Linked DNA regions of Sus scrofa. The main gene of each other region encodes a partner of the protein of the gene in region 3 in a complex. Links are inferred from orthologs where the notes say so. Each region holds a gene or a part of one and is shown on either strand. Other genes may lie near its edges. The genes, in order: DPM1, PIGY, DPM2, PIGH, PIGC, DPM3 and PIGQ.

Region 1 (4,108 bases), on a different chromosome or scaffold from region 3:
CAGAGGCAAATTCAGTTTTACTGGTAACATTTACACTTCACAACAAGAATATACTTGTTTATTTCTTATGTAATAAAAAGTTCAAATTGGGAGCTCCACAGGGGTGTAGTGGATTAAGGAGCTGGCAATGTTGCTGCTGTGGTGTGGGTTCGACCTCTGTCTCAGGAACTTCTGCATGGTGCAGGCTCAGCCAAAAAGAAGAAAAAAAAAAAGGTGGAAAATCAACAACAACAAAAACAAGATAACAGGGATGCTGTGGTGTAAATAAGTATTAAAAAAGCTCGAACTGTTACATTTAGTATGCTTTAGTCTGAGATCCCGAGGCCCAGCCTCTCCTTTTTTTGCCTCCTCGCATCGATTTGATCGCTTTTTCTCACGGCGGCAGGATGGCTTCGCAGAAGAGAAGCTGGGCATGTACAGAAAGTGTGTGTAAGGATGCCAGGTACATACTCTCTGAGGAATGCTTACCACGACTGCTTGGAAAATGCTGTGTGACACTATGACTTGTTAGACAAAAACTTAGTTGTAGAGATCTTTATTCTAGAAAATCTTGATGATATTTCAGAAAACGGTATCAATGTCCACTAGAGCCAAGGGTATTTAGAAGTGGACCTGTTTTTCGATCTCTCAAGGTTGAGAGAAAGAATAAAAAAAAAAAAAAACCCTGCTAAAAAAACACTAATAATACTCTGTTTTGTAAATCTTTATTTATCAGTGAGGCTCATTTTTTTTTTTTGTTTCCCATTTTTGGCCATATGAAGTTCTTGTTTTATGAATTATCTGTTTCTGTACATTTAATTGGGGTATTAATCTCTTTGTCAGAGATAATACTTTTGTTGAGGATGAACAGAAATTTTTTTTTTTTTTTTGGCCACAGCCATGGCACCCAGAAGTTTCTGTGGGATCAAACACATGTCATAGCAATAACCAGAGCCACAGCAGTGACAATGCCAGATCCTTAACCTGCTGAGAAGCCAGGGAAGTCCAACAGAATAGTTTTAAGTACTCAAATCTCTCAATCTTGTAGTTACGCTTGACATTTTAAAAATAATGAATGTGCGTTACATTTCACTATCAGAACAATTTTTAAAAATACTAAACTATACATAAATAATGAGAAAATACAGGTGATTATCTGATCTCTGCTTGGGGGTGAAACAAACCACACACATCAAACATACAAACCTACAAACCTCCCGTCTCCCTGCCCTGTGACCACTGCTAACAGTTTAGAATATGTGCCTCCAATTTTTCTATGGTCCCACTCCTACCATTTATCAGTTAGCCATGTAACCTTGGAAAGTGACTGAACCTCTAGTTTGTTTCCGACCTACAGAGTTAAAAACATATGTATCTTCCCTGTTGTTTGTTTTTCCCTGAAATACTCATTTCAGCCAGTTTGAAAGGGCTAGCTAACAAAGCATCTGTGCATATTTTATCTGAAGTATTGTAAGATGGTTCCTAATTTCTCTCCAACTTTTCTCCCAACTAAACATGTCACCTAAAAGGCAAGTAAGTGCCAACTCTCGCATAGCTTGTTACTGCCCCTCCAAAATAATGTTCTAGTTTAGCTGATCTAAAAGTGATAAAATAGGAATTACCATCGGGGTGCAGCGGAAACAAATCCGACTAGAAACCATGAGGTTGAGGGTTTGATCCCTGGCCTGCTTGGTGGGTTAAGGATCTGGCGTTGCCATGAGCTGTGACGTAGGTTGCAGAAGCGTGGCTTAGATTCTGCCTTGCTGTGGTGTAGGCTGGCACCTGTAGCTCCAATCAGACCCCTAGCCTGTGAACCTCCATATGCTGCAAGCGCAGCCCTAAAAAGCCAAAAAAAAAAAAAAAAAAAAAAAAAAGTGATAATGAATGAATAGGGAATTTCCCTGGTACTATCCAGAAATCATGACAGTGTATGCTATTTTTTTCCCTTTGTTTTCAATCTACCTTGAGGACCATGCTGTTTTAAGAATGTATGGTCAATTGAGCAGGCATTCTTTAAGATATATCAATCAACCACACCTCAAGGCTGAGGTTCTATGACAAAAGAACTCAAAATAGGTTGATGTTCCCTGATAAAATGGAAGTGCATAATGAGAGTATATCTATACGTAATAAATGTGAATGGGTGGCCTTGACCTAGAATTTATTTTAAAAAAAAAATCTGAGCAACTAGCCAAAAACTTGAACCCAGCATTATCTGAAGCCACCGTCGGAAGGATGAAGATCTAAGTTTTTATCTCCTCTGTGCACTTGTCTATCTGGAGCCATCCAGAGGGGCCTGGAGGGGACTGTAGTTCTGTGAACTGCTCATTTGTGAGACAGAAAGACCCTCTATTACAGGACAGATGGACTGTGTAACACATTTCCTTTAAACTCTTCCCACCAAGTAAGATCTCCTCCAACTGCATGGAAATTATTTCATTTTTGGGATTAATCAAGAATAACTGGACCCAGAAATAATTTGATGATGCTTAATTGCCATTTCCTGAAATGCACATGCCAATAAAGGTTCTCAAAGAGACTCTTTTTACACCTCTACTAATGGTTCTCTACTGGGAGGAGGGGACAATTTTGCCTGCAGAGGGTACTTGATGATCTCCAGAGATATTTTTGTTGCCACACTGGGGAGGGGGACTGCTACTCCATCTCCTCAGTAGAGCTCAGGGATGATGCTTACACCCTACAACATAGGGGACAGCACCCACAGAAAAGACCAATCAGGTCCCAGTGTCAGTAGTGCCAAGAGGGAGACATTCTAGTTTATACAAACTACAAAATACCCAATGCCTAGAATGTGTTTTCTAATTAAATTTGGATTTAATTTTAAGCTTTTGGCCCAAGAATTATCTGAAATTGAATTCACAAGTATGCTCCAACATTCATAAAGCCAAACCAGTGGCCAAAAATCAAAATTATGAACCCATTATAAAATGAAGTCTACATTTGCTTAAGTTACTCTTGTAGAAGAAAAACAGGCTTTCAGGTACAGTGGGAAACCCTAAAGTTTAAGACTCAGAAAGTCAATCTACTTCCACCAAACTGTTCTATATATAAAAGTAAAAATGCCAAAGTGCCCTGAAAAATCATTTGTTTTACATGAAAACAATCAGTGACCTTTCCCAGCTACAAGTTTTTATCTATAGCTTTTAGTTGCAGGCAGTATTCTCCACTGAAAGTGGAAGAGAGAAACAGCAAGAAAAATGAAGACATACATTACCAACTGCAACATGGCTCTACTGTCAACTCAGTACCATGCTTTAATTTTACCGCTCAAGAAAAGTGATTTGCAGAGTCAGACATAAAAACAGTTCACCCAAAGGCTCGTTATTTTGCTGTAAACTTACCACTGACTCCACAAATCAAAGAGACATAAAACTTCAAGCACAATAAAATGCATCTAAACCCCAAGCATGTAATTCGCTCTTTATCGTTTCAGTTTCTAGACAGACTGAATTTGAGCATTGTTCATTTGTCATTTTTTCTCATATATAAACACAACTGATATGATAAAAAAATGACTTACAATTTTGTCTGACCCATAGATCTTCACCAACTGTTCAGCAATGTCCCTTGTTCCATCTGGGCTTCCATCGTCTATGATTATAATCTCATAGTTGATGCCACTAAAACAAAAAAATTTAAATTTGTACAGTTTGGAGACAATATTCTTAAATTAAAGGATAATTTAAAAATCACTAATTCTTCCCTATATAAATAGAAACTTATTGCCATGTTAATCATCAAGGAAAACTTCAATTATCAATGAAGCAAATGTCAAATATTTAGTATGTCACCTCCAAACTCAGCATGTTGCTGGAAATGCTACTATACAGTCCTGAGATGTTAAAAATTTCTACAGAGAAAACGTACTCAAGTATGTACTCAAGTCAACTGAGTAGGTCTGGGTGATTACTTTTTAATTCAATCCCAAAGAGATTTAAGTTAACATTATCAGGAATAAAGCCGATTTAATTTCACCCTTTAAAAATCCACTTTAGAACAGTGACAATCTCTTACACCACCTTTTCAAATAGTTGTACCCATTACCCCAACTATAAAAAGAATGTCCAAAGATTTCAATGCACTTCAACATTAACATCTTTGTTGTTCT
Region 2 (4,907 bases), on a different chromosome or scaffold from region 3:
GGATTCATTAACCACTGAGCCACAACAACGACGACGGGAATGCCTAACCTCATGTTTTAAATTTTCTTTTTAAGGGGAAGAATCACTGTCTAAAGCTTCTTTTACACTACTTTAAAATTCTATTAAGAATCAGTTAAGGTTACATTGAGTTCTTAGGCTTCATGAGGGTAAATACTGAAACATTTGTTATACTTCTGAAACAGTTATTGTACTAATCAGTCTTATTGAAAATTCTGGAAAATCAATAACTATTAATGTGTCAAATGCTCATGCCCTTAGTATTGCTAAATAAATAGGTCTCTTATGGCAGAAAAATAAACTGAAATGTGGCTCAATAATCGCCCTAACTAAACTCAACAGGACACAATCAGCTATTTGCCAGTCTTTCAATTCCACCTCTCCTCACAGCACATACTTTCCTGGGAAATTCTGTTCTATTTTGGGTGCCTCTCTAAACATATAATTTCCTTGTCTTTGAATTATATTCTTGTGACCAAAAGGAAAAAAAAAAAAAAACCAAACACAAAACTGCAAATTGTTTTATGGAAAATGTCAATATCTTATTAATAATGTAAGCCATCTGATGCCAAAGAAATGAAGGCAATTTTACCAACTCAGAATTTTGGCAAGTACATGAAATTTACATTTTATTATAGTTTTATATCACACTAGTCCAAATGCATTTCTCTACAATTACTCCCCATAGCTCCTTGGAATTATCTCAGTCATCCTTCACATGTGGCTTTACCAAAGGCTTTGAACCTAAAAACAAACCTACAATTTCGAATTAGTAATTTTTAATTATGAATGGGATAAGAACAAGCCATCAGATGATGGCTGTGGGGGTGCTAATTTCCAACAAGCCACTTTGTTGAAATGTTTCTTCCGAGAGACCAGGTATAAATCAGAACCTTCAAAAAGCAGGGGAAGAACCAAAATACAAGAAAGAAGCCTCTTGCAGCTTAAACGTCACATAGTCCTAAACCTCTGACAAAGGCTAATAAGCAAAGCCTCTTTCCTGCAAAGTCTGGGTTTCCAGTATTTCCATGTGGCGGAGCTTTCGGACACACTCACTCAAGCATATCATGAGTTTAAATACCATCGTGGCTCCGGCTGCGTTAATTATGCCGGAAGAGTTTAATACCCATCCAAGTCCAGAGGTGGAAGAACACGTAAACGGGGATGGTGATGGGCAGGAGCAGACTGTAGAAGCACAGGCTGGCTGTGCTGGTGCAGCCCTGGGGGAAGCTCTCTTCCACGGAGGCGGAGTACAGCAGTCCTCCCAGAGAGACCAGGGGGACAAGGACAGTCAGCGTGGGAAGAGACAGAAACATTCTTCTCTCCCACCCACCACCCGCCACGCTGGCTTCTTCGAAGGTGGATGGTGTTTAGAAAATTTCCTTGTGTTGTGTTTACGTATGACCTAGTGCTGCTTCATTTCTTCTTGCTTCTTATTTTGATGTGTCATCCTAGCTGCCTGTGGTATCATATTAGGAATCCCGTCAATAATCGGATAGGCTATTCCCAGCTCTTCATTAATCAATTCATTTGTCGATGGTTCATATCTGAGGGGCAGAAGAAAACCAAAATGAATCCCGGAAGAGTCTGAGGTTCAATAAACAGTAACATTTATCCAATTCTTCACACAGTTAGAGCCAGAAAAGCAGAATTAGACTGTTTTTCATTCTAAAAGCAGCAGTAGCCAATTCAACCATTTCTCTTAGAAAAGGAATCTCTAATTGTTCCCATTTTAGTCTGTTTCTCTCATTTTCTTTTTCACGTTATTCTTAAGCTATGCCTTAGTGGAAAAAAAAAAAGAAAAGATCTCTCCTTTTCATCCAAATATTCCTTCATGACTCTTTTAAACCCTCAAACGATCCCAGCTAATTTACTACTGGAACAGACACGAGAGGAAAATTCAGCTTCTTCGCTTATCAGAACACCTGCCTCACTGATCCATGAGAAGGAAACCACGGAAGCAGCAATCTACCACCCAAAGGCAGCCACTGATGACACTGCGGTGTTTGCTAGTATTGTCCACGTTCAGGTTTAGCAGCCTGCAACTGCAGAGATGTTTATCCTAAAGAGTCTAGGTGAAAGGTTAAGAAGGCCTTTACAGAACCGGCTGGTCGAGAACTAAAAACCAAAGGGCCGCACACGTAGCTGATGCGCTTAAGATCCTACCCGGCGTTTTCGCAACAATCTGGAAGCTATCACATTTTTCATCGCCTTGCCTTAAAAATCTGAATGCCATGGATTAGTCTTCCGAATCCCGAGTTCATAACCCTGGCTGTACAGGAAGATCACTTGGGATCCTTTCAAGAAAATACGCAGTTGCTCTGGCTCGGCCCCAAGGCCTTCGGATTGAGCCCGGGTGGGGCGTTGCCTAGAGATCTGCGTTTTAAGAAGGATTCCCCCGAGATTCTAAAACGCTGCCGGCGGAGAAGCTGCCCGCCAGGATCCAGGCCTGCGAGTGGCCGGTTTGGTCCGGGAGGCCTGGGGCTCGGCTGGGGCCTCCTCCCGCCCTTCCCGCGGCGGAGCGAGTACCCGGGAAGCTGGCGGGCCCGGGTCCAAAACATGGCAGCGAAGAACACCCGGGTGACCTGAACGTCTCCCCGGCGACAGGGGGCCACCAGGGAAAAGCCGCAGCGGACGAATCTTACCTGAGCGGCTTCTTGGACAGCGGGCACACCAAGAACTCCAGCAGCGCCGGGTCGAAGGCGCGTGGCGGTTTCCCCTCCTTCTTGTTCTCGTCCGCGGACGGCCGCGAGCCCGAAGCGTGCAGGCACCTCCTGGCGACCGCGGACGGCGGCGCGCGTGTCCCTCGCAGCGCTAAGGCGAGCCGACCGCGCGCTCCGCTCAGCATGGTCTGGCCGCCGGCGCGCGGACCTCCGCACCCCCTGGGCCGCTCCGGCCGCTCCAGCCGATCCCGGGGAGTCCCGCCCAGGCGGCCAGGCCCCGCCCCCCGGTGCTCGGGAAACGCTGCCCCCGACGGCTGGAGGCCCGCTCTTTGGTTCCGAGGGCGCTCGGGACCCGACTGCTTTTCCCGCGGCACCGCTCGGTATGGAGAGCCCCGCCTGCAGCCTGGGCTTTCTGCGGCTCTTCCTGCCCGTTTGCAGGTTGCAGACAAAACCCACGCTCAAGTGGAGGCGTCCTGAGTTTTCACCAGGGCCTGTCGCAGGGCCTCCAGGAAGCCAGTGGCCGGACCTCAGAGTCACACAGTGATAGACTTGGACCTCCGTGGTTATCACCAAAAGGAGGTTTCCAACACACTGTCACACTGGGTATGTTAAAAAGCATTACTTGTTTTATGTGTATCTGTCAGTCTTTGCAGTACCACACTTCCTATAACCTTGTTTGGCTTTTTTTTTTTCTCCTTTCATTAAAAAAAATATAAGAACGGGAAAAGAATGGCTTAGTCCTCTTAAACTTAAGATGCCCAGTTTCTTACCCTGGGCTCAATGGCATAATAATAGCACCACTCATTTGCTTCTGTAAATGAGCTTGGAAACCGCAAGGAGTCTAAGTAACTGTGTCCTTTAATTAAGTGGGTGATCCACACAGTGGTTTTTTTCTCGCCCCGCATTTGCTTCTGACTCTCCCAGAAAATGATGCGGATTTGATCTCTTTCTTATAGTGTAGGAGGTAAGTGCCGGGGGTCCGGGCCTGACACCTTGGTCCCAGGTGCATCGTTTACTAGTTGTAGGGCTCCCGCAAATCTCCTAACTCCCCAGCTTTCTTTTCTTTTTCTTTTTTTTTTTTTTTTTTTTTTTTTTGTCTTTTTGCCATTTCTTGGGCCGCTCCCGCGGCATATGGAGGTTCCCGGGCTAGAGGTCGAATCGGAGCTGTAGCCGCCGGCCTACGCCAGAGCCACAGCCACGCGGGATCCGAGCCGCGTCTGCAACCTACACCACAGCTCACGGCAACGCCGGAACCTTGACCCACTGAGCAAGGGCAGGGACCAAACCCGCAACCTCATGGTTCCTAGTCGGATTCGTTAACCACTGCACCACGACGGGAACTCCCTCCCCAGCTTTCTTATCTGTGTAATTAGATTAATTATTGTTCCTACCTCATATAATTCCATCCTGGGGCTTAAAATGTGCTAATGAATGCAAAGAGTATTTAGAAAAATGCCTGTGGCAAATGAATGCTCAGTTAATGGCATATGTTGTCATTTTTATTTTCTCTATTCTTTGCAGCCCAGTATACTAGAAGATTCTTGGTTAGTCATCAAAATCCACCCCCTTTTTTTGTCCTTTTAGGGCCGCACCTGCAGCACATGAAAGTTCCCAAGCTAGATAGAGCTCAAATACGAGCTGCAGCTGCCAGCGTACACCAGAGCCACAGGAAAGCCAGATCTTAACCCATTGAGCGAGGTCAGGGATCAAACCCGCATCCTTATAGATACTAGTTGAGTTCGTAACCTGCTGAGCCACGAGGGGAACGTCCAAATTTTCTCGTTGTCTCGCTAAATATTGAATCTTTTCTTGCATCGTTGGGGCTTTACCACTTCACACTTTGAGCTCCTGGGAGGTGGGGATAGGAGTTGAGGGATATATAGATACACATACAAGATTGTATGTCCAAATTTCTCTTCCACTCAGCAGTGCAAAAGCAGAGGCAATTTGTGTTGTCTGTTCACTCTACTTTAAAAAATCTACTACATCATTGGATGCTCTTTGTTCACTAATGTGCAAAAGATTTCAGCCTGAGGCAGCTGTCAGGGATGTAGCCTCAAGAGGTCCCGTTGTTAAGTTCCTATGTTATTTCCCACTAGACCATAGTAGGAATTAATTTTTCAGGTGTAGTTAGTTGATACCTTGGGCTCTAGGGAAGGAGTGAGGTATAGGAAAGAGGGTTCAGCAAGGTATTGCAATGCAGAGCTTGACTTTGGCTAGCTCTGG
Region 3 (4,827 bases):
AGGGCTTCCCGGGAAGTGGGGGATTCCAGTGGACCTGATGGGTGAAAAGCAGCCTCTAGCCGTGGGAAGACAGTGTTCCAGGCCTCGAGCTGAAGACCTGGTGGGTGATCTGGCCTCCAGGCCTAGGGAGGGGCCTGCACACCGGTCAGAAGGCCTGTCTGGGCTGTGGCACACACGGGACCCGAGAGGCAGAGGGGAGGGAGGATCCCCACCCCGGCCTCATTCCTGCAGTGAAGAGCGGCTCGCCAGAGAAGCTTGGCAACGGTAAAGGGGTGCCCTCACAGCCAATCAAAACCAGCCCCATCCCAGCAACTCAAGCCAGACCCTCCTCCTCCCACTCCAGGCTGGTGAATCTTTTTTTTTCTTTCTTTTTTTTTTTTTTTTTTGCAAGCAAGCAAAGTCTTTATTACAGGAAAGCAAACAGCTCCCAGGACAGCTGGGAAGGGCAAGAAGAGCCCCACTCTCTATTGGGGTTTTTATCCCTTAAAGATGGGGGGGGGGTAACCAACGTGAGGTCCAGAAAGCTGTGGTTTTCTCCCATTGGCCTTGCCCAGTTCAGTCCTTGTCCAATAGGGTCTTAGGGGTGGAAATGTCCCGTAAGTCCCATGGTGTCTTTGCCCTTCTCTTCCCGTAGCCTGAGTCAGGGGGCTTTGAGATTAATGTCCGTCTGGGCGTAGGTACACTCCCTGGAGGAAACAAGGCATGTGGGGATGTTACTCCCTGGAGCCCTTTAGCCGCAAATGTTAATCAATAGACATATCCAAGAATGCATCGAAGCCCAAGCTCCTAACACTGACTACCTGAGTGACTATTCTGCCTCAGTGCCCCCCCCCCCTGCCCCCAGAGTTGGAGACTTTAACTTTGGAGGCGGGGGGACAATGACCGACTGCTCTGACTGCTTCCTGCTGACAAGGGGTGTCCTTAGGGAAAGTGGTTAGGTCTCCACTCATGGCACGGTCGGTTGAGTGGGCTTCAATACATTACCTTGGGTACCCTTTCTTTCACTATCTGTAGGTTGATAGCTTTTAATCAGGACATAACAAAGCAAGACCTACAATTAATTATCTAGGGTCCAAATAAAAGGCTCAAGATCACAATGATGACTATGGTGAACAAATATTTCCATCAGGAGGAGGAGGAGGTCAACCCGTTCCAGAGGGCAGCTCTAAAAGCTGGATGGAGCTGGATCAGACATCTCACGAATCTGCTGCCGGAGATCTCGCAGGGAATCAGACACGTTCTGCGAATAATCAGGAATATAGGCACAACATTCAGATTTTATGACAGCACGGGTACCTCCTTGGCCTGCACTGAGTATGTCTAAGGCCATTCGGTTTTGCAGCACTACTTTTCTTATTTGTTTTTGTTCCATATTTAGGGTAGGAATAGCTTCTGCAGTATCATTAAGAGATTGTGGAGTAAAATTAGTTAAGGCTTCCACCCTCAGCATTATCCGGTGAACGTTTGTCTGCACCCTACCCTCAACAGAAGAGTTGGGGCCACCACACCAGGAAGTAGCGCCCTCGGGTTCTGGAGTCGGCTGCACCCTCTACTCGGATTGTGATCTTCAAGTGCTTGCCTCTTTCTGAGCCTCATTTTCCCCGTCTCAAATATGGGACTTTCGACCCCCCACCCCATCCCGCTCTGGCCTTGGGACTCGGATATTGAGATGGGGTTTTTTTCTGGGTCGAGTTCGACCCGACTGAGACCATAAATGCAGCCTATCTGGGTTCCCCACTGGGTCCCATTTCCCAGGGTGATTCGGAAACACGGCCCACAATACTCTTGAAAACTACATTTCCCGAAATGCAAAGGGGAGGCGGTGCCTGCCTGTCTTGGGCGACGTAGTCCTGGGACTGCCTAAAGACTACGACTCCCGACGGGCCCCGCGGCCCAAGGCCAGGAGGGCCCGGATGCGGAACCGGATGTGGCTTACGGCTCCGGTGCCTGGAGCGCTGGGGAAATGGTGAGCTTGGGGCTGGGAGTCCTGGGAATGAGGGCGTCTGGGTGTGGGGTCCTAGGTCTACTCAGAAGCTGAGGCTTGAGCTCTCGGGAGCCGGGATCACTCTCCCGCCGGCCCATCGTACGGGTGGTAGGTCTTTAGCCTGCACTCTGTCTCAAGCCAGGAAATGGAAACCTCGTCAGCCACGTCGGATACGCCTGCTGAGTGAATGGGCGTAATCAGGCGGCAACTCCCCCCTCCGTTAGTGCACCTAAATGGAGGGTCACTTCCTCAGTTGAGCTTTCCCTTTTCTCCAGGCCACAGGGACAGACCAGGTGGTGGGACTCGGCCTCGTCGCCGTTAGCCTGATCATCTTCACGTACTACACCACCTGGGTGATTCTGTTGGTATGTGTGCTTCCTCGTCCGCTCTCACCTCCTATCCCTAGATCTTGAAGCCAACTCCTAACATTTAAGCACGTGACAGGCCTACCTGCCCATGTAATGAAAGCGTCAGAGCAGCAGTAGGAGGACGACACTAGCGGTGTCCCCATTGTATAGATGACGAAGCCGAGGCTCAAGGAGAAGGTTCAGACCTAAGGTAGAATCCTGAACCACTACACTGTAAGGTCCTGTGCCTTTAATGGGAGTTCTAGTCCTTCTGGTTATCCTGCGGGCTCCTGGGCATGACAAGTGCCAATGGGTTTTGTGAGGGTCTTTGGGATATCCCCCCCCCCCCCGGTGGAAAAATGTGTTAAAATGTGCAGTGTGTTTGGGAATCAAAATCTTTTTTTTTTTTTTTTTTTTTTTGCCTTTCTAGGGCCGCTCCCGTGGCATGTGGAGGTTCCCAGGCTAGGGATCGAATCGGAGCTGTAGCTGCCGGCCTACACCAGAGCCATAGCAACGTGGGATCCAAGCGGCATCTGCAACCTATACCACAGCTCATGGCAACGCCGGATCCTTAACCCACTGAGCAAGGCCAAGGATGGAACCCACAACCTCATGGTTCCTCGTCGGATTCGTTAACCACTGAGCCACGACAGGAACTCTGGGAAGCAAAATCTTGCAGAACTTGATGTTCTTTGGGAGAAAAATCTTAGTAAAGAAAACTTTTGTGGAGTTCCCGTCATGGCGCAGTGGAAACGAATCCAACTAGGAACCATGAGGTTGCGGGTTCAGTCCCTGGCCTTGCTCAGTGGGTTAAGGATCCGGCATTGCCATGAGCAGTGGTGTAGGTTGCAGATGCGGCTCAAATCCCGCATTTCTGTGGCTGTAATGTAGGCTGGCAGCTGTAGCTGCGATTCCACCACTAGCCTGGGGACCTCCATATGCCGAGGGTGCAGCCCTAAAAAGCAAAACAAAAACAAAAACAAAAGATCTTGGAGCCCAGATTGGGATTCCTCATGTACCCTTTGCCCCTGCTAAGCTGTGGGGGACTTAAGCCAGGTCCCCAGCAGCAGCTTAGAGCAGGCACCAGGGAAGTACCTAGTATACCACTTGTAGAAAAATGAAGGAAGGGAACCAACCAAAGCACCCAAGATGCCATCATCTTAAAGAAAAGCAAATGCAGCCCCAGCGCTTTGACGGGGTCAGCCCCTGAGACAGAGGAGGTGGGATGTTTGGGCTTGGGGCGCTCAGCAGAGCCAGGCATGCTCACCGGAGCTCTGCCCTTGTGCCAGCCATTCATTGACAGTCAGCATGTCATCCACAAGTATTTCCTGCCCCGGGCCTATGCTGTTGCTATCCCGCTGGCCGCCGGCCTCCTGCTGCTCCTCTTTGTGGGTAAGTTCTCCCAACCCTGGGCGGGGTGTCTGAGGGACCCCATGACCCTCTCCTACACCTGAACATGCGGCTGTACTTTGGCCCCTGCGGTACACCTGCTGGAGGCTCCTTGCCCTCAGTTCACCCCCTGGGGTTTCCGTGTTCATCCCTCAGGGCTGCAGGCTTCTCGATCCTCAGGCTCACTGGACTCTAATGGGGTGTCTCCTTGTTTCCTGCTCCTTCCACCACCATCACCCCTCACCCCCTTGTCACTTTGGCCTCTGATTCCTGCACCCCTCTGACTCCCAGGGTTTAGTGTGTGGGCTTCCTAAGGCCAAAGACTGTATCTTCATCATTACTGTGTCCTCAGTGCCCAGCACATGCTGTGGCACTGAGTTGGTGCTCAAAAAAGTCATTTGAGTGAGTCAGCAATCAGGTGTCTGGATGATGGGGTAGGTGGATGGTAGGTGCTGAGTGGGCAGCTGGGGAGGTAGGTGGCCAGATGGTTGACTAGCTGAGTCGATGGATGGTTGGGTGGATCTTATTCCCTGTAAAATCGGAAACACAAATCCAGCAGGTGGCCTGTGGTCAGCCCTCGGCTGATGTTTGTTGAATGAATATAGGTGGGGGTGTGGCTTAGCGAGCCACTTGGGAGATGACCGGGGGAACCTGGAGGGTGGCTGGGTCGGTGCCTGGCCCCGCCTGCGGGTCCCTCTGTCATGCTCTGTCCTGCTCCGGCCTCCCAGCAGCCCTGAGCCAGGACCTTAACTGGCCTTTCTGGCCCGTGTGTTCCAGGAGTGTTCATCACCTCCGTGATGCTGAAGAGCCAGAAGGTGACCAAAAAGGCTCAGTGAGGGCCTGGCCGATATAAGGCTGCGGCCCTTTCCGTTTCTTCGCCAGGGCAGACCCAGGCGGGGGGCCCACAGGACCCATCCAGGCCCTGAGGCCCCCCTCAAGCCCAGCTGCCCTGAAGGCCCCCCCCGGCCCAAGGGGGACGGAGCTGTTCAGGACTCGCCCCCCAACTGCCCAGAGCCCCTCCCCTCCCCTCCTCCCCCTTCCAGAAGCCAGGAGGGAGGCGTCCCTGGAAGTCTCCCTCTCACCCCCTTCTGGCTCAGTGCCCGAAAG
Region 4 (4,108 bases), on a different chromosome or scaffold from region 3:
CTGATACGAATATCCCCTCTTCCCTGAGTGAGGCCTTCTGTTGATTGCAGAGGTGACCTGTCTCCACCCTCCCCTAACAGGAAAAACAAAACGAAAGAGTTCATTCATACTCTGATTTTCCAACACTGGAGAAACTGCGTTTTATTTCATAGTTCTAAGGCAGTCTTACCATTTGTCAATAAAGGCTGAACAAACGATATGGATTTAGCAGTAGCATCCAAGAACCAGGCCTTTAACCCCAACAAAGTGTGTGTGTGTTGCACACTGCAAGAACTGCAAGGCTGGAACTGGTTTACTGGAACACCTTAGTGGCTGTAAGCTTCTGCTCTCTCACTCTTTACATCAACAGGCATGACGAAAAAAGCAGCACATCAGAGTGTCGGCCTCTTTTAAACAAACTTGACTTTGCCAGGCTGGCAATTTTATAGCTGTCTCCCATTTCTGTTCCTGCCCTTCCCCCAGGATTTGGGATTTAGCTGAGACATTTCTACCTCAACAGGTGACATGTCCCATGTCCCCGCAGGCTCCTGAATAACCCTTCCAGGGCTGGTATAAAAGGCAGAAATTACAGCTCTAGTTTTGTAAGATCTTGAGTGGCTCTAAAGTAAATAAGAATATTATCACCTACCCAGGAATTTTTAAAAAAATCCCAAAGAAAAAGTAAGCAAGACTGGAGCTGTGTTCATACTGAATTTGGGGATCCAGCTATTCCCCCGCCCCATCTTCTTCCCAGCCCTTCAGGAATCCTGCCCTAATTCGTTAATTTTACACAGAAGAAACTGCCATGTAAACAGAGGCTTCTGTAGTCTGGCCTTTAACATATCTGGAAACCAGAGTCAAATTTCTGTCTGGCTTTTTGTCTCATCCCTCTTGGCAAAAGAAGTTTTTGAAACCATAGACAATGCTGAGTAACGAGAGTATTAATGTGCTTAACCCCCATGACTGAAATGCCATGATCAAGTCTGTCAATAAAAAGCAGCTGCCTGAACCAAGCAATTCCTTGTATGTTTTGGAAAGAGATCTGCTTATTAAGAGAATCATCATAAGCTAACCCTGTATGGGCGCTAGATGGGCAGAGGCTCATCTTTTGTAGGACATTTCCTCCTACCAACCAGTACCTGAAGGGCTTTTTTTTCCCTCCCTCTCAACTTTTATACAGGGGTACAGTGCAATTGGAAATTACCTTTCTCAAGAGATCTGATAATCGATTTCCCATTTTCTTGCTCCACAAATTGCAACAAAAAGTAAACTTGAATGTGCTCAGGAATTTCACAAAGTGCTCTTTGTCAGTGTTACTTCTGACGTATGGTTTCGAGGTCTCCCCTCAGTTGGTAAAGTACACAAAACCTGACAGGGGAAACCCTAAAACATACATAAATATTTTCCGCTGCATCGCACGGAAAATAAGTTAGATTTCCAGTCAGCTGCTCTATGGCTCTGGGATCCGCCGCATCCAGACTGGTTACTGGGCCTGCATCCACTTGATGGTTTAGAATCCGGAAAATAAACCAGTCGCTGTGGCTGAGGAGTCACCTCCCCTGGGAGATAATACTGATCACGAATGCTGGGACTCACGGGCTGGTTGACGTGGATTTCTGGTGTGCCAAGATCTCCTGGCAGCTCCTGTATACTTCAATCAAGCAGTCCAGCCGGGGCTTGGCACTCTGAATTCCAAGGGGGAGAAGTGCAGAGTCAGGATGAACGTCAGAGTGCTCAGGGCTGCTGCATCTGCAGTCTCTCACCCACGACAAGGGGGTCCAAACGGCACGGGTGTGGCCTCAGAGGCAGAAGTTCAGGCCTCACAGCACCTCGCTGGGAGGAGTCCCTTTGTAGGCCCACAGCCCAGCCTGTGAACTGCAGAGCAGGAGCTCAACAGTTTTATTTACTTTTTAAACTATTTTTTTAGGGCCGCACCCATGGCATATGGAGGTTCCCAGGCTACGGGTCGAACTGGAGCTACAGCTGCTGGTCTACACCACAGCCTCAGCAATGGGGGATCCGAGCCACATTTGCGACCTAGACCACAGCTCATGGCAATGCCGGATCCTTAACCCACTGAGCGAGGCCAGGCATCAAACCCTTGACCTCATGGTTCCTAGTCGGATTTGTTGCTGCTGCACCCCGAAGGGAACTCCAACAGTTTTAAATCTGTCTAAATTTCATGATCTCCATCTAAGAGCAAGCAAGAGGAATAACAAGGATGACCCTCACAGGAAGCGAAACAGTTCTCAGAGTCAAGAAGGGCAGTTTAATATGTAACTATTGAGGAGTTCCCTTGTGGTGCAGTGGGTTAAGGATCCAGTGCTATCACTGCTGTGGCACAGGTTCAATCCCTGGCCCAGGAAATTTCACATGCCACGAGTGCGACCAAAAAAAAAAAAAAGAGAAAAGTAAATATCAAAAATTATTTTACATAATAAAATGTAATACAAATTAAAAACCACAGAATGGGAAAAAAATACATGGAAAGCAAATTTAATAAAAGTTTGCTACCCCAAACATGTGAATCGTTACAACACATAATCAGTATCTAGATTCTACTTGACTAATAGAGGAGATGGACAGTTTAAAACAAGAAAATATAGATAATACAAGGAAATATGAAAAGTCTCTTTGCACTGACAGAGTTAGAAATACAGGAGTTCCTATTGTGGCTCAGCAGAAAAGAACCCAACTAGCATCCAAGAAGATGTGGGTTTGATCCCTGGCCCCACTCAGTGGGTTAAGGATCCAACATTGTGGTGAGCTTGCATCTGGCGTTGCTGTGGCTGTGGTGTAGGCTGGCAGCTGCGGCTCCGATTTGACCCCTAGCCTGGAACTTGGATATACCTCACCTGCGGCCCTTAAAAAAAAAAAAAAAAAGGATACAAATTTAATAACTCTAAATTCCTTTACCTACACACTAAACTAAAAAATAGCTAAACCCACTGTTAGTCAAGACTATAGAAAAGCAAGTACAAATTCCCAAAATACGGTAAAGGTGTCCAGTCTCTGGAGCCAACTCTCAAACACTGTCAAAAATCTTTGAAACTTCATAAGCTTTAGTAAAATAATTTTGAACTATAATGCAAAAGGCTTTTAGCTTAGCTGCCTTAAATCCTTTGTGAAAAAAGAAAGGTGGAGAGACAGTTTACTGCATACATAAATATTTTATATATCTATAAAATATTATAATCATGTTTGTATAAGTGTTTTTTTTTTTTTTGTAAGAAAAAACCTGGACATGATTTCAAAAGTGAACAAAAGAGTGACTAAATAAACTGATATTTGATATGATACAATTATTTAAAATAATCAGTATAATGGCCTCTGTGGCTGCATGAGAATACGCAGATTTGAAAAGGAACACACCAAACAGTGTAGAACAGTAGGTGTAGATCAGTAGCATCTCTGTAAAATCACATACTGCCTGACTGACAGAGACAAAGTGGCTGAATGACGATTTTTTTTTTTTTTTTTTTTTTGGCTTTTTAGGGCCGCACTGGCGGCATATGGTGGTTCCCAGGCCAGGGGTTGAATCAGAGCTACAGTACTGGCCTACACCACAGCCACAGCAACGCAGGATTGGGGCCCTGTCTGACCTACACAGCTCAAGGCAATGCTGGATCCTTAACCCATTGAGCGAAGCTGAGGATTGGACCCTCATCCTCATGGATACTAGTCGGATTCGTTTCTGCTGTGCCACAGTGGGAAATCCTGAATGATGAATTATAGGCAGAAGTTGCTTTAGGTTTATTTTTATCTCTAAAATTTGTATACATTTATAACATTTCTGAAAGCCTTTATTTGCCTCAGAAGGGAACTTTGTTTTTTTTTGTTTTGTTTTTTTTTTTGTCTTTTTGCCTTTTCTAGGGCCGCTTCTGCGGCATAAGGAGGTTCCCAGGCTAGGGGTCGAATCAGAGCTGTAGCCACTGGCCTATACCAGAGCCATAGCAACTCGGGATCCGAGCCTTGTCTGCAACCTACACCACAGATCACGGCAACACCAGATCCTTAACCCACTGAGCAAGGCCAGGGATCGAACTGCAACCTCATGGTTCTTAGTCAAATTCATTAACCACTGCGCCACGACGGGAACTCCTCCAGGAACTTCTGAAGTAACTAAAAT
Region 5 (3,270 bases), on a different chromosome or scaffold from region 3:
TGACCAATTCTGTGATCTGAGGCAACAAAACTGGATATAGCATCCAGGGTCCTAGGATTTGAGCTGGAGATAAATAACAGAGCCTGCATTTAGTACACAGAAAAAGGCAGACAGAAGTGACTTTACATGCACACATATTTTTTTTCTCTCTCTCTTTTAGTGCCGCACTCATGGCATATGGAGGTTTCTAGGCTAGGAATCCAATTGGAGCTGTAGCCGCTGGCCTACACCACAGCCACAGCAATGCCAGATCCGAGCCTCATCTGTGACCTATACCACAGCTCATGGCAACGCCAGATTCTTAACCCACTGAGCAAGGCCAGGGGTCGAATCTGCGTCCTCATGGATATTAGTCAGATTCGTTTCCACTGAGCCACGACAGGAAATCCACACACATATTCTTTGTGTCCCTTTTGTCTGTCTTCTGCTTACAGAAAAATTGTGAGACAACTTGATGGATGTGTTGTTAATTTTTTTAATAGATAGAAACCACATCACTTCATTTGTTACATTGAATGAGAGGCAATAATTGAAGAGGGCCCCACAAAGCTTTTCCCGCCACAAAATAACAGAAAGGATAAGCACCTTCACCACCCAAGCCTTTGGTTAACTTTTTCTTTTGATTTCTGATCTCCCACCCACATCAGCATGCTGCTTCCAGAATGGAATTCTGCCTTCGAATCTTATACTAGTTGGAGGGCTAGTCTATCAGTTTGTCTTAGTAACAGAATGGAAGTCACCAAACTCAGCTGAGGAACCTGGACAAGTCTTCTTTGATTTCAGCCTCATCCCAAGGCCCATGAATGTTCTCTTTAAACAGCTGCAAGCGAATGAGGTAGAAAGGACAGAGACATGAGATGGAAACCAGCAGAAGGGCAAAGAGTATGGCTCCCACAACACTAATGGACAGGAGGCCTCCCAAGGCTGAAAATGCAAAAAGCAGTGTGACTCCCACATAACTGCAGGGAGTACATGCCTTCAGTTTTTTCTGTAACATGGGCCACAGGGCAAAAATCTGGATGGCAAATGTCACCATGATGAAGGCATGTAGGGACCGGGGCAGGCGTGAGGCAAGGCAGACAGAAGCAAAGATGGCCATGTTCAAGGACAGTGTGCTGGATACAATGGCAGCATTGGCACCATAGTCAAAGAAGATGAGGTGGCCCAATAGCATGAAGACTGACATGGCATAGATGGTGTCAGTGCTGACAGACTCTGTCAGGGTCTTCAGCACCGGTGAAAAGCCGTATGTGAAAGTAATGAAAACTAGGGCACTCTTCAAGTCAGCCCACCGGGTCCGCCCACTCTTCTTCCGTCCTTCACCTCCATCAATGAGATCAAACAAAACATAGCCAATCAATGAAGAGGCCAGGCCAGTCCCGAAAAGCCAGTGGGGTGCCAGAAGACCCTCATCCATATACCACCAGATAACCACAAAAACACAGACACTGCATAGCTGCTGGATCACCACACTGGACTCAAATACTACAGCCCAATACTGGTATTTCCGGGCATAGATGTTTTTCCGGAGCTCTTCCAGGAACCTTCGGTCCACATAGTTATCAGGAAAGGGCTGTCGCTCATACAAGACCTTCTGCCACTTGGCCTCTTTGGTGTTAGTTACAGGCTGTGAACACATTATCCTTTTGCTCAAACTCAGGCTAGTTCAATCTCCGTTGTAGAAGTCCATGTGGTTCTTGTTCTTTATAAAGTTTTGAAATAAGACCTCTCTGGAAATTTCATGTTGAATGTGGTTGATATGGTACCAACCTTCCCTTGCTTTCAAAGGCAGAACCCAGGCTAGACCTTTAGTAGATGAGTTTGTTCTCTGAGGCAGGACAATATAGCCAAGTTCCTAGAAAAAGAGAGACTGTGAATCTATGAATGTTGTGAAAGGTCAAGGGTAGGACTGAGTTAAAATCAAACCAACTTATTGGGTTATCATAAGCTTATTAGAAGTCTGAACAAAATATATATGGTGGCCATCATGTAACTGAGGACATTAAAATTTCATTTCAGATTTTACATTATAATCCCTTAGCAGCTACCATTTGTCAAGAGTGCATACTATGTACTAAGAGCCTTACGTAGCTTCTTTCATTTAATCTCCACAATCCTGGAGATTAACCCAACTAATAAAGCAGCAATTCAAAGTGCTTAGGTAACTTTAGCCCAAGTTAACAGTGGTAATTAGTGGAGCCAGATTCAAAGGAAACTTCTTTCCCAAAGGCTTCACATGTCTCCCTCTAAACTAGTTCTTAACTCAGGGGTTCACATATCCCTGAGGTCTATGGATGGGCTTCAGACCCTTCAACAACCCTCCCAGTCAATGCATATTTGTAGTTGTAATTTATGCAGATTTCTAAGGCTAGGATCCAAAGCTTTTACTGGGTTCTCAGAGGCATCTATTACTGAAAAAAGTTACCGGTCTAAAAACAAAAACCTCATAATAATAAAGGTACAAGCTCTAAGGTTTATTTAACTAAAGCCAAGGACTGGAGATTCTTAATCCCTTGACCGAGTTTAGCAGCCTTAAAAAGAGTTATCATTCTACTTATTTAACGCGAAACTCTAGGAAGGATCGGAGATAATGATCTCCTTTCCACTACTGCAAAACTAAGAGTCAGAAATACCAAGATCATCCAGCAGGTCTGCGAAGAAAATTCTTATGGCCCGACCTTACGTCTTCCATGGAGACCATGATAGGTTTTGCTTCACAAACCAGACGCCCTGGGAGGCTCCCTCACCGCAGCAGGGACCCCAGCCCCGGCATCTCACGGCCGCCGCAGGGGGCTGGAGGGTCCCAGGCGCTGAAAAGGGCAACGCCCGCCCGCTGGGTCGGGGACAGGGCTGGGGAGGGGGTGGGGAAGGGGAGGGTGTCCCCGAGGGTGTACCCCGCCCGCCGCCACCCCTCACCCAGCCTCGGCCCTGCGGGGGATGGCGGAGGAGGCCCGGAAATACTGACTCCCACTCGGAACCCACCTGCCCGCGAGTTCCTAGGGGTGCGCGGCCGGGCGAGGGCGGCCGCCCGCCTCCTTCCCCATCCGGGGCGCCGGGGTCGCGCCGGCGGCCGAGCACTTCCGGGGCCGCCACAACCTCTGCGGCCAGAGCGTCCTTCCTCTGCCCGCGCGGCCTTGAGGTCACTGCTGCCCCCTCCTGGCCGCGCAAGGGAACTCCCGGCTCCTCTCCCTAGAAGAATGGGTGATGCCTGGAAAGCAAATCCTGGACATGGAGATTGGGATTTGGCACCAGAAAGGCAAAGGACAGAGG
Region 6 (3,096 bases), on a different chromosome or scaffold from region 3:
TAAAAACAACAGGGCTTGGGGACTCTGGTGGTGCAACAGGTTACGGATCTGGAATTGTCACAACTGTGGCTTGGGTCGCTGCTGTGCATGGGTTCAGTCCCTGGCCCGGGAACTTTCACATGCCACCAGCATGGCCAAAAAAAGAAAAGAAAAAAAGGAACAGAGCTTGAATTTATGAAGAATGGAAATAAGCCTTCAAGAAATACTTCCTGGAGTTCCCTTTATGGCTCAGCAGAAACGATTCTGACTAGTATCCACGAGGATGCAGGTTCAATTCCTGGTGGGTTAAGGATTGGGCGTTGCTGTGAGCTGTGGTGTTGTTCGTAGACATGGCTCGGATCTGGCGTGGCTGTGGTATAGGCCAGCAGCTACAGCTCTGATTTGACCCCTAGCCTGGGAACCTCCATATGCCTCACGTGCGGCCCTAAAAACACAAAAACAAAGAGAAGGATTTCCTAATAGGGCTAAAAGAACCAGGAAAGTGAAATGGCTTTTCCATTTGAGAGATTTTGAGACGAGGTCTTTGTTTCCTTTGGAGCAAAAATGAGGAAGCCCAGCAGAATGCAAAGACAAAGGCTGGGAAAACCACAGGAAGGTGGCTCTTCTACCTCTTACCCCTTAACAGCTGGTATACAGAACCCCCAATTCCCACCATCCACACTCAAACCAAACAAAGTTAGAAAATAAACTGGCTCTTTAATGGGAGAATGAGAGAGCAGGCTGTCCAGGCGGGAATTCGGTTAGGGTGTCAGAAGCGCATCCCCCTGCGGGCCAAGTCGGCTCGGGCCTCCTGGATCTGGCTCTGCAGCTCACGGGCGGCGTCCTCGCAATCGTGAAAAGTGGCCACGCGATAGCCCACAGTGCCCAGGGCATAGCAGCCAGCAGACACCAGCAAGTAGGCGGGCAGTGGCCACAGCACCTCCCGGCAAGACGAGGGCAGCTCCAGGCCAAGGGCTCCCATGGTCAGGGCCGCCCAGGTGGAGCCTAGAAGCGCCAGTCCCCACAGCCACTGCGCTAATTTCGTCATGGTCACTGAGGGGAAGAGGAGGCAAAGCTCGAGATCCCTGCCACCCCGCTACCCGCTCTTCATCTGAGACCCAGTCCCTGTCCTTCTCCCTCACCCACCCTGAATAGCACCTAACCTCAGAGTCGCTCCCCCGTCCTGCCATTGCTCTTGCGCTCCCGACTCCTCCATCCACCTACACTTACCTCGCTGCCCCACGTCTCCCCTGTTCCGCGCGGGTCTGACGTCAGCGTCGGGAATCCTCCAAGGCTCGCGTTTCCGCCGCTGTGCCTTTTGGGAGTTGTAGTCGGCGAGCAGCGCCTGGCGAGCTCGGGGCTGCGGTCTTGACGTAGGCTGAACTCAGTCGGCTCCGCACCTGTAGCCACGGCCTGGATCTGGGGAGCCTTCGGAGCTGCTTCTCTCCCTCGGGATCCCGCTCCACTACTGGCGTGAGGCTTGTGGACAACCCGAGGATGCCTTAGGCCTTGCAACAAGGTGGGGATGTAATATTGTTCCTCTTAAACTCACTTCTGCACAAAAATCCCATTCATTCATTCGTTTATTCTTTTATTCGTTCATTCACTTGAATATATTTTTTAATTTGTTTATTAGAGTATAGTTGATTTACAACGTGCTGTCAACTTCTGCTGTAAAGCAAAATGACCCAATCATACATACTTGAATGTTTCTTGATCATCACAGTAGACTTTGGAGAAATGGAGATGTCAAGACACTCAGCTTCTCCTGNGGTGGAGAGTGAAAAGCAAGAGTCAGGAAAACAGATGCATTAACAGCTAGCCATTGTGCCCTGAGATAGGTGTTAGAACAAGGGTTGTTGATATTTTTCTCCTTTGTTGCCCACCCCATGGCATATGGAGTTCCCTGGCCAAGGATCAGTCCAGATCCGAGGCTTAGTTGTGACGTAAGCCGCAGCTGCTGCAGTGCCGGATCCTTAACCCACTGTGCCCTGCTGGGCATCGAACCCATGTCCCATTGTTCCCAAAAGGCTGCCAATCCCGTTGTGCCACAGCGGGAACTCCAAGGTTGTCATATTTTAAAAGAGAAACTCAAGGGAACAACCAGTATGGTTTGGAGCTAGAGGAAGAAGTGCTCCGGCATGGTGTCTTTAAGGGACAAAAAACGTGGGGACAGAGGAGTTACCTGATGTGTTTAAGGTATTAAGAGAAGGGGTATACATCTTTCAGAATTTGGCAGACGAATTCATGATAGCTATATAGAAAACCAAATAAGACAAAATGTCAGGCAATTATCAAATTAAGGGAAAACAAAGAATTATAAAAGAAAGGAAAGAGATGGAATTACTGCCAGGCGCTGTGGGTTAAGGACCTTACTGCAGCAGCTTGGCAGGCTGTGGAGGTACAGGTTCAATCCCTGGCCAGGTGCAGTGGGTTAAAAGGACCCTGTGTTGCCACAGTTGCAGAGTAGGTCGTGGCTAGGGCTCAGATTTTATCCCTGGCCCCGGGAACTTCCTTGTGCCCCAGGTGCAGCTATAAAATTTTAAAAAAGAAAAAGAAAAGAATAAGCATTATAAAAGCCTGTCTGATAAGACCACTAGAAATATAACTGTAATCAAACAGTTAGGTTTATTCACTTGCTGCTGCAAGAGAGAGCACACACCAGAGGGACTGTGGAGCTTCTAAGGAAAAAGCCAGGTCATTGCAGGCTATGGGGAAAGGGTTGCGTTCAGGTGATATTTAAATGAAGCAGTGTTTCAGTAGGTTCAAGGTAAGCACAGATGTAAGTGAAGGAGTTAAGTGCAGGGACTGAGAAGTCGACTGAGGTTCCACATGGAAACTACAAAATTAAGATAGTGAATTTCAATTTTTTTAAATTGCTATTGTTTATTTATATTTTATTTATTTATTTATTTTGCTTTTTAGGGCCACACACGTGGCATGGGGAGATTCCCAGGCTAGGGGTCCAATCAGAGCTCCAGCTGCCGGCCACAGCCACAGCCACAGCAATGCAGAATCCGAGGCGCATCTGCAACCTACCTCACAGCTCACGGCAACGTCGGATCCTTAACCCACTGAGCAAGGCCAGGGATCGAACCTGCAACTTCATGGTTCCTA
Region 7 (4,601 bases), on a different chromosome or scaffold from region 3:
GTGCCCAGCACGGCCAGGCCCACCCGACCGGCCTGCTGCACCTGCGCCAGAAGCTCCTTGACTTGGATGGGGATGAAGGGAAAGTGCACCACGGCCAGGACCACGGCACTGCTCTGCTCAGGGACCCACCGTCCAACCAGGAGGCCGCTGTCCGCCGAGGCGCAGCACGTGGGGAAGAAGGCCTTGAGTACCATGCTGGGGACGCTGGAAGAGAGGGGGGAGGGCTCCGCTCAGAGCTGCCGCCGCCGCCGCCACTGTGCCGCAAGCACCACGGGCTGGCTGGCAGCGCCCGACCTGTGGGCCCTGGCCCACATGTGGCCCAGTCGGCCCTGACAGACACATCCACTGGCCGCTGGGCCCACAGGTCGGGGTGACCCAGCTTTGGGTCTGGTCACAAGGCTGGTGGGGAGGCCCGGCTGTCCGTCTTCGGCCCAGGCTGCTCCCACCCCACCCTGAGGCAGGGGCACACGTCCCCCTTCAGAGCCGAGCAAGCTGGGGGGGGGCACTGCACAGAGCTGGGCACAAGGGTGCAATTTTTGTTTTTAAGGACCTGATGACAGTTCTTTGCATACACATAGAAAAACGTACGATCTCATGAACAACTAATGTAAATTAAAAATCTAACAAACCTTGATTTTCTAAGTTAGCGAGAACAAAGACGAAAAATTAAATGGCTGCTGAGCTGAAGGAAATGAGGCAGGGCACCGGCACTGGCAGCTGGCTCTGGCACAGGCGGGCCCAGAAGATGCCTGGGGGCAGGCCTGATGCCCCAGGGAGCCCGCACCCTCCCCCGGGGAGCCTCAGCGCCCAGGGCACAGGCCAGCTGCCTAGGGTTTTCTCTACGACCACCAGACCACTGGAGCCTCCAGCACTCAGCTCTGCCCCCCCTCCCTGGAGCCCCGCCCTCCTCTAGGACCCACTCCCCTGACCAAGGAGGGGTCTAGAAGTTCTCCCACCAGGGGAACAGCAGAGGGGACGCCAGCCTTCCCAGCCTTACAGGACCTCCAACTAGCCTTGGGGAACAGGGGACAGAGTAGGACACACATGTTGAGGACATGCCTTTCCTGAGGGTTAGAGCAGTCTGGGAGGGGCAACAGGTGCAGCTGCTTTCCTCCCGCCAGGTAGTCAGGGCACAGCTGAAGGGGGAGGCCTCTCCCACCTGTGGGTTCTGAATGGAAAGGGTCCCCTGAGTCAACCAGCAGCCAGGCTTCCAAATGCCCCTCTGCCCAGAGACCAGAGAGGGCCAGCCACGCGAGTGTCTCCAGGAGAAAGTCTCTGTGGCCATCAGCAAGGACCAGCTGGCCTTCCTGACCCTTCTGAGGGGCACTGTGAGGACAGAGCCGTTCTGCCTTAGGGTCCTGGCACATCTGGTTGGGTGACCACCTGGGGGACCAGCCAGCCTGGTCCAAGCCTCTCAGCACCAGCCCATCGGACACACCAGCTCAGCCAAATGACAGCATCACACCCTGCCTGGGACTCCTTTCACAGGACCTAAGGAAAACTGCCCGTAGCCGATGTCAGAAACTGAACACAACTGGTGGGAGGGAGTTCCCTGGGGTCTAGCGGTGAAGACCTGGAGCTTTCACTGCTGCGGCCTGGGTTCTGTTCCCGGCCTGGGAACTGAGATCACATCAAGCTGCTGCAGGCCACGGGCAAAAGAGCGAGCAGGGGCTCTGGGGGAAGTGGGCTACACACTGAGTTCACTTTCAGAAAATTCATTGAGCTGTACCTGTAGGTGCACTTTCTTTGTGTGTTTTATGCTTCATCTACAAACTTTTCCCAAAAAAAGCTCCTCTTGTCTAGGGAAGAGCAGAGAGCAAAGGGTGGTGTTCCCGTCCGTGGGGCAGAGAGAGCGCTCTTCTCTTAAATCATGGGGCAAGCTTCCATCCCCACCCCGCCTCAGCCTCTGGGCGGGACCAGCACAAAGAAGGCTCTCAGATCAGACCGCCAGGAAAAGATGAAAGAGCAGGCAATCGATAGCAGAGGTGCAGACGGGAGGGAGCAGGCAGCAACCCCGCGCCTCGAACATCTTTAAAGACTGTGCACAAGCCTGGGAAAGCTGCCTCTGTTAAGAATGACGGTCTGTCCTCTGGGACCCGGCCCGTTCCAGATCCGTTGGGGAAGGCCAATGCGGGCATGCCCGGCGCCTGGCAAGCTCAACTCAGTAGCCTACCTCATGAGGCTGAAGGCCTCCCACCTCTGCGCGAGTGGATCCAGGGCAAAAGCCCAGTTACAACCAGCCAGGGACGTCTCTAGCCCTCCCCTGTGGAGACTCGCGCTCCTCAAGAGCTCACAAGATCCGTTCTTACTCTATGTGTTTGTGTTTAGAACACAACAAGCGTTCAGTAAACAGTGCTTTTCTTCTCTCATTTCAGAAGAAGAGACACGAATCTAGGGCTCTGGGTTTTGCCCTTTACTGCAGTCAGGGACAGCTGTAAAGTGCTGACAGCCGGTTCCAATGACCCTGAATGCCCTTCCAAAGAGTCCACAGCGGGAACCAGGTTGGGCCAGAGGGACCCGGCTGGCCTCCCTTCACCCCACAGGGCCGGGACCAGATTCCTCGCCAGGGCACCCACGCCGCCCCGCCGCAAACGCGGGGCTTGGCGGACGGGCCCCAGGAGGACCCGGCGGGGCCTCACCGCCCTCCCAAGTCTCAAGCCCGCCCTGGCCGGCAGCGTCCCTATTTTACAAATGAGGAAACAGAAGCTCCGAGAAGCAGGAGGCCAGCGCGGCTCCGGAGACCCTCGGGCTCCCGGGTCTGTCGGGCGGCGCGGCGGGAGTCGGGACCACAGGCCGGCGGGGGCAGCTCCCCAAGGTCGCGCCGCAGGACGCTGGCCCGCCCCCTGAGTGCTCACCGGCTGCTCCCCGGGGCCGCCCCCTCGGGCGGCAGGGTCGGGATGGGGTTGGGGACAACGACGGGTGGGCCCGGGCGGACGACGGCGCTCACGGCCCCCAGCCCCGCCGCGGCCGTGCCGCGGGACAGGAGCCCCATTTCCGCCCGCTCCCGGCGTTGCCGCGCTACGGTCCGTCCCCAAATGTGCCCGGGCTGCCCGCCGGCCTCACGCACAAGCGTTCCCCGCATGCAACGTTCCGGACCCTCGAGCCAGTGTGGCCAGAATGACTCCCTTGTTGCCATAGCGTCCCCGTCTGCCCGACCCACGCCGCGCACCTTGGTCCTCCTCACGCTCTGTGCACAAAGCCCTTGTCCCACCTCCAGCCTACCCACAGTGTCCCCAACACCCCTGCCTTCCAGTCATCCACCTTGCCGCAGCCACCAAACCTCTCTCCCATCCCGAGTTTCCTCGTCTGGGGACCCATTAGACCTGACAAATGAGGATCCCCGCCCTCTCCTTGCCCCCCACCATCCAGGTGAAAGGACCCCAAGTCCTGGGTGGGATCTCCCGGCTCCCCTCTCCCAGCATCCTGGTTCCTGCAGGGGCCACGTGAGCTTGGAGGGCCAGCCCAGAGGCTGAAGCCATCCGATCTGATGGCCCCTCCTGCTCCAGGGAAAAATACCCCCAACACCAGCAGCAGCAACTAATGTTTACTGAGAACCGGCAACAGAACTTTCCACACTGACCCGCTAACCCACCGCCACCTCCGCAGAGCCGGAACATATAGGCGGGACCTTGTCAGGCAATGGCCCAAACCACAGACCCCTAAACCACAGTCCTTGTGAGAGGCAGAAGCATCCCTCACCAGCCGCCCGGGCAGGACTAGGCACTGTCCCCTCCCCCTGAAGACCCCCTCACTGGAACTGGGAGCAAGGCTGGGCCCCAGACTCAGAGTAACCCCGCACCTGCCCGCCCCTCCGGGCCTCCTGTTCCTGCTGTTTTTCAGCAGCAGGAGTCTGTCCTCACAAGAACTGTCCCCATGCCCTTGCAGCCTCGTTTGCGGAGGAGGAAACGACGGCTCAGACAGCCTCCTGTGGGAGAAGACGCCCAGGAGCCTGGAGGTTCACAGCTCAGCCACGTGACAGCCCAGGGCGCCTCCAGGGCAGCCCCTCTTCTGCCCCCCCTTACCTCGGCTGAGGCCAGAGAAGCTGCAGGAGGCTCAGAACCTGGGGCGCCTCTGAAAATGGGGGACTGTGAGGGGCCGCGCCCCTTCCCAGACTGCCCTGATGAGCCCAGCCCAGCCACACCCTCCCCGCCGGCTTCTGTCTGATTAGGAGGCAGGGGCTGCGGCGCCAGCGGGAGATCCTGCCTGGGGGAGGGCTGGCAGCTGGCCCAACTCTCCAGAGATCCCCAGGCTTCAGCTGCTGGCCCCGAAGGGCAGGCCTCCTGGGCCCTGGGGGCTGGGAGGCAGGTGATCCCGGCTGCCGAGCAGGACTGAATCCTCGCCCAGAGGAGGACAGGGGCCAGTGCAGGGCTCGGCACAGCAGCGCTCAGGAGGGTCAGCAAACGTGCAGGGTCAGGAAGGCATGGCCAGCACCCGCCTACCCTGAACTTTCCCCCACCGTGGTCCTGGCTGGAGCACGCACGGTCAGGGGCTACCCCCGTCCAAGCCCGCCTGGTCAGGCCAGCTCCAAGCAGTGCAGGTACGCTCTGAGGCAGCCATCCTCGGGGGGGGGGGCACAGGCCACACCCAGGGGCCCCCCAGTC

Evidence for each region.
Region 1: DPM2 (region 3) and DPM1 share a complex: the UniProt entries of both Homo sapiens proteins name them as parts of the dolichol-phosphate mannose (DPM) synthase complex. The link is inferred for Sus scrofa from reciprocal best matches to the Homo sapiens genes DPM2 and DPM1.
Region 2: DPM2 (region 3) and PIGY share a complex: the UniProt entries of both Homo sapiens proteins name them as parts of the glycosylphosphatidylinositol-N-acetylglucosaminyltransferase (GPI-GnT) complex. The link is inferred for Sus scrofa from reciprocal best matches to the Homo sapiens genes DPM2 and PIGY.
Region 4: DPM2 (region 3) and PIGH share a complex: the UniProt entries of both Homo sapiens proteins name them as parts of the glycosylphosphatidylinositol-N-acetylglucosaminyltransferase (GPI-GnT) complex. The link is inferred for Sus scrofa from reciprocal best matches to the Homo sapiens genes DPM2 and PIGH.
Region 5: DPM2 (region 3) and PIGC share a complex: the UniProt entries of both Homo sapiens proteins name them as parts of the glycosylphosphatidylinositol-N-acetylglucosaminyltransferase (GPI-GnT) complex. The link is inferred for Sus scrofa from reciprocal best matches to the Homo sapiens genes DPM2 and PIGC.
Region 6: DPM2 (region 3) and DPM3 share a complex: the UniProt entries of both Homo sapiens proteins name them as parts of the dolichol-phosphate mannose (DPM) synthase complex. The link is inferred for Sus scrofa from reciprocal best matches to the Homo sapiens genes DPM2 and DPM3.
Region 7: DPM2 (region 3) and PIGQ share a complex: the UniProt entries of both Homo sapiens proteins name them as parts of the glycosylphosphatidylinositol-N-acetylglucosaminyltransferase (GPI-GnT) complex. The link is inferred for Sus scrofa from reciprocal best matches to the Homo sapiens genes DPM2 and PIGQ.

The regions. Positions count from the first base shown.
Region 1 is NC_010459.5:52,370,352-52,374,459, forward strand, and holds part of DPM1 (dolichol-phosphate mannosyltransferase subunit 1), read right to left. Parts: intron 3,621-4,108; coding exon 3,521-3,620; intron 1-3,520. UniProt on the Homo sapiens protein: Transfers mannose from GDP-mannose to dolichol monophosphate to form dolichol phosphate mannose (Dol-P-Man) which is the mannosyl donor in pathways leading to N-glycosylation, glycosyl phosphatidylinositol membrane anchoring, and O-mannosylation of proteins; catalytic subunit of the dolichol-phosphate mannose (DPM) synthase complex.
Region 2 is NC_010450.4:130,525,602-130,530,508, reverse strand, and holds PIGY (phosphatidylinositol N-acetylglucosaminyltransferase subunit Y), read right to left. Parts: upstream 2,939-4,907; 5' UTR 2,867-2,938; coding exon of another isoform or gene 2,664-2,866; intron 1,566-2,663; coding exon of another isoform or gene 1,424-1,565; 5' UTR 1,335-1,423; coding exon 1,119-1,334; 3' UTR 526-1,118; downstream 1-525. UniProt on the Homo sapiens protein: Part of the glycosylphosphatidylinositol-N-acetylglucosaminyltransferase (GPI-GnT) complex that catalyzes the transfer of N-acetylglucosamine from UDP-N-acetylglucosamine to phosphatidylinositol and participates in the first step of GPI biosynthesis.
Region 3 is NC_010443.5:268,420,646-268,425,472, reverse strand, and holds the start of DPM2 (dolichol phosphate-mannose biosynthesis regulatory protein), read left to right. Parts: upstream 1-1,915; 5' UTR 1,916-1,963; coding exon 1,964-1,966; intron 1,967-2,259; coding exon 2,260-2,349; intron 2,350-3,620; coding exon 3,621-3,723; intron 3,724-4,497; coding exon 4,498-4,556; 3' UTR 4,557-4,827. UniProt on the Homo sapiens protein: Regulates the biosynthesis of dolichol phosphate-mannose. Regulatory subunit of the dolichol-phosphate mannose (DPM) synthase complex; essential for the ER localization and stable expression of DPM1.
Region 4 is NC_010449.5:91,306,007-91,310,114, forward strand, and holds the end of PIGH (phosphatidylinositol N-acetylglucosaminyltransferase subunit H), read right to left. Parts: intron 2,843-4,108; coding exon of another isoform or gene 2,831-2,842; exon of another isoform or gene 2,790-2,830; intron 1,855-2,789; coding exon 1,714-1,854; 3' UTR 1,665-1,713; coding exon of another isoform or gene 1,572-1,664; 3' UTR 116-1,571; downstream 1-115. UniProt on the Homo sapiens protein: Part of the glycosylphosphatidylinositol-N-acetylglucosaminyltransferase (GPI-GnT) complex that catalyzes the transfer of N-acetylglucosamine from UDP-N-acetylglucosamine to phosphatidylinositol and participates in the first step of GPI biosynthesis.
Region 5 is NC_010451.4:114,824,340-114,827,609, forward strand, and holds PIGC (phosphatidylinositol N-acetylglucosaminyltransferase subunit C), read right to left. Parts: upstream 1,640-3,270; coding exon 746-1,639; downstream 1-745. UniProt on the Homo sapiens protein: Part of the glycosylphosphatidylinositol-N-acetylglucosaminyltransferase (GPI-GnT) complex that catalyzes the transfer of N-acetylglucosamine from UDP-N-acetylglucosamine to phosphatidylinositol and participates in the first step of GPI biosynthesis.
Region 6 is NC_010446.5:94,659,804-94,662,899, reverse strand, and holds DPM3 (dolichol-phosphate mannosyltransferase subunit 3), read right to left. Parts: upstream 1,333-3,096; 5' UTR 1,210-1,332; exon of another isoform or gene 1,143-1,209; intron 1,033-1,142; 5' UTR 1,028-1,032; coding exon 749-1,027; 3' UTR 677-748; downstream 1-676. UniProt on the Homo sapiens protein: Stabilizer subunit of the dolichol-phosphate mannose (DPM) synthase complex; tethers catalytic subunit DPM1 to the endoplasmic reticulum.
Region 7 is NC_010445.4:41,173,332-41,177,932, forward strand, and holds the start of PIGQ (phosphatidylinositol N-acetylglucosaminyltransferase subunit Q), read right to left. Parts: upstream 3,035-4,601; 5' UTR 2,993-3,034; coding exon 2,856-2,992; intron 205-2,855; coding exon 1-204. UniProt on the Homo sapiens protein: Part of the glycosylphosphatidylinositol-N-acetylglucosaminyltransferase (GPI-GnT) complex that catalyzes the transfer of N-acetylglucosamine from UDP-N-acetylglucosamine to phosphatidylinositol and participates in the first step of GPI biosynthesis.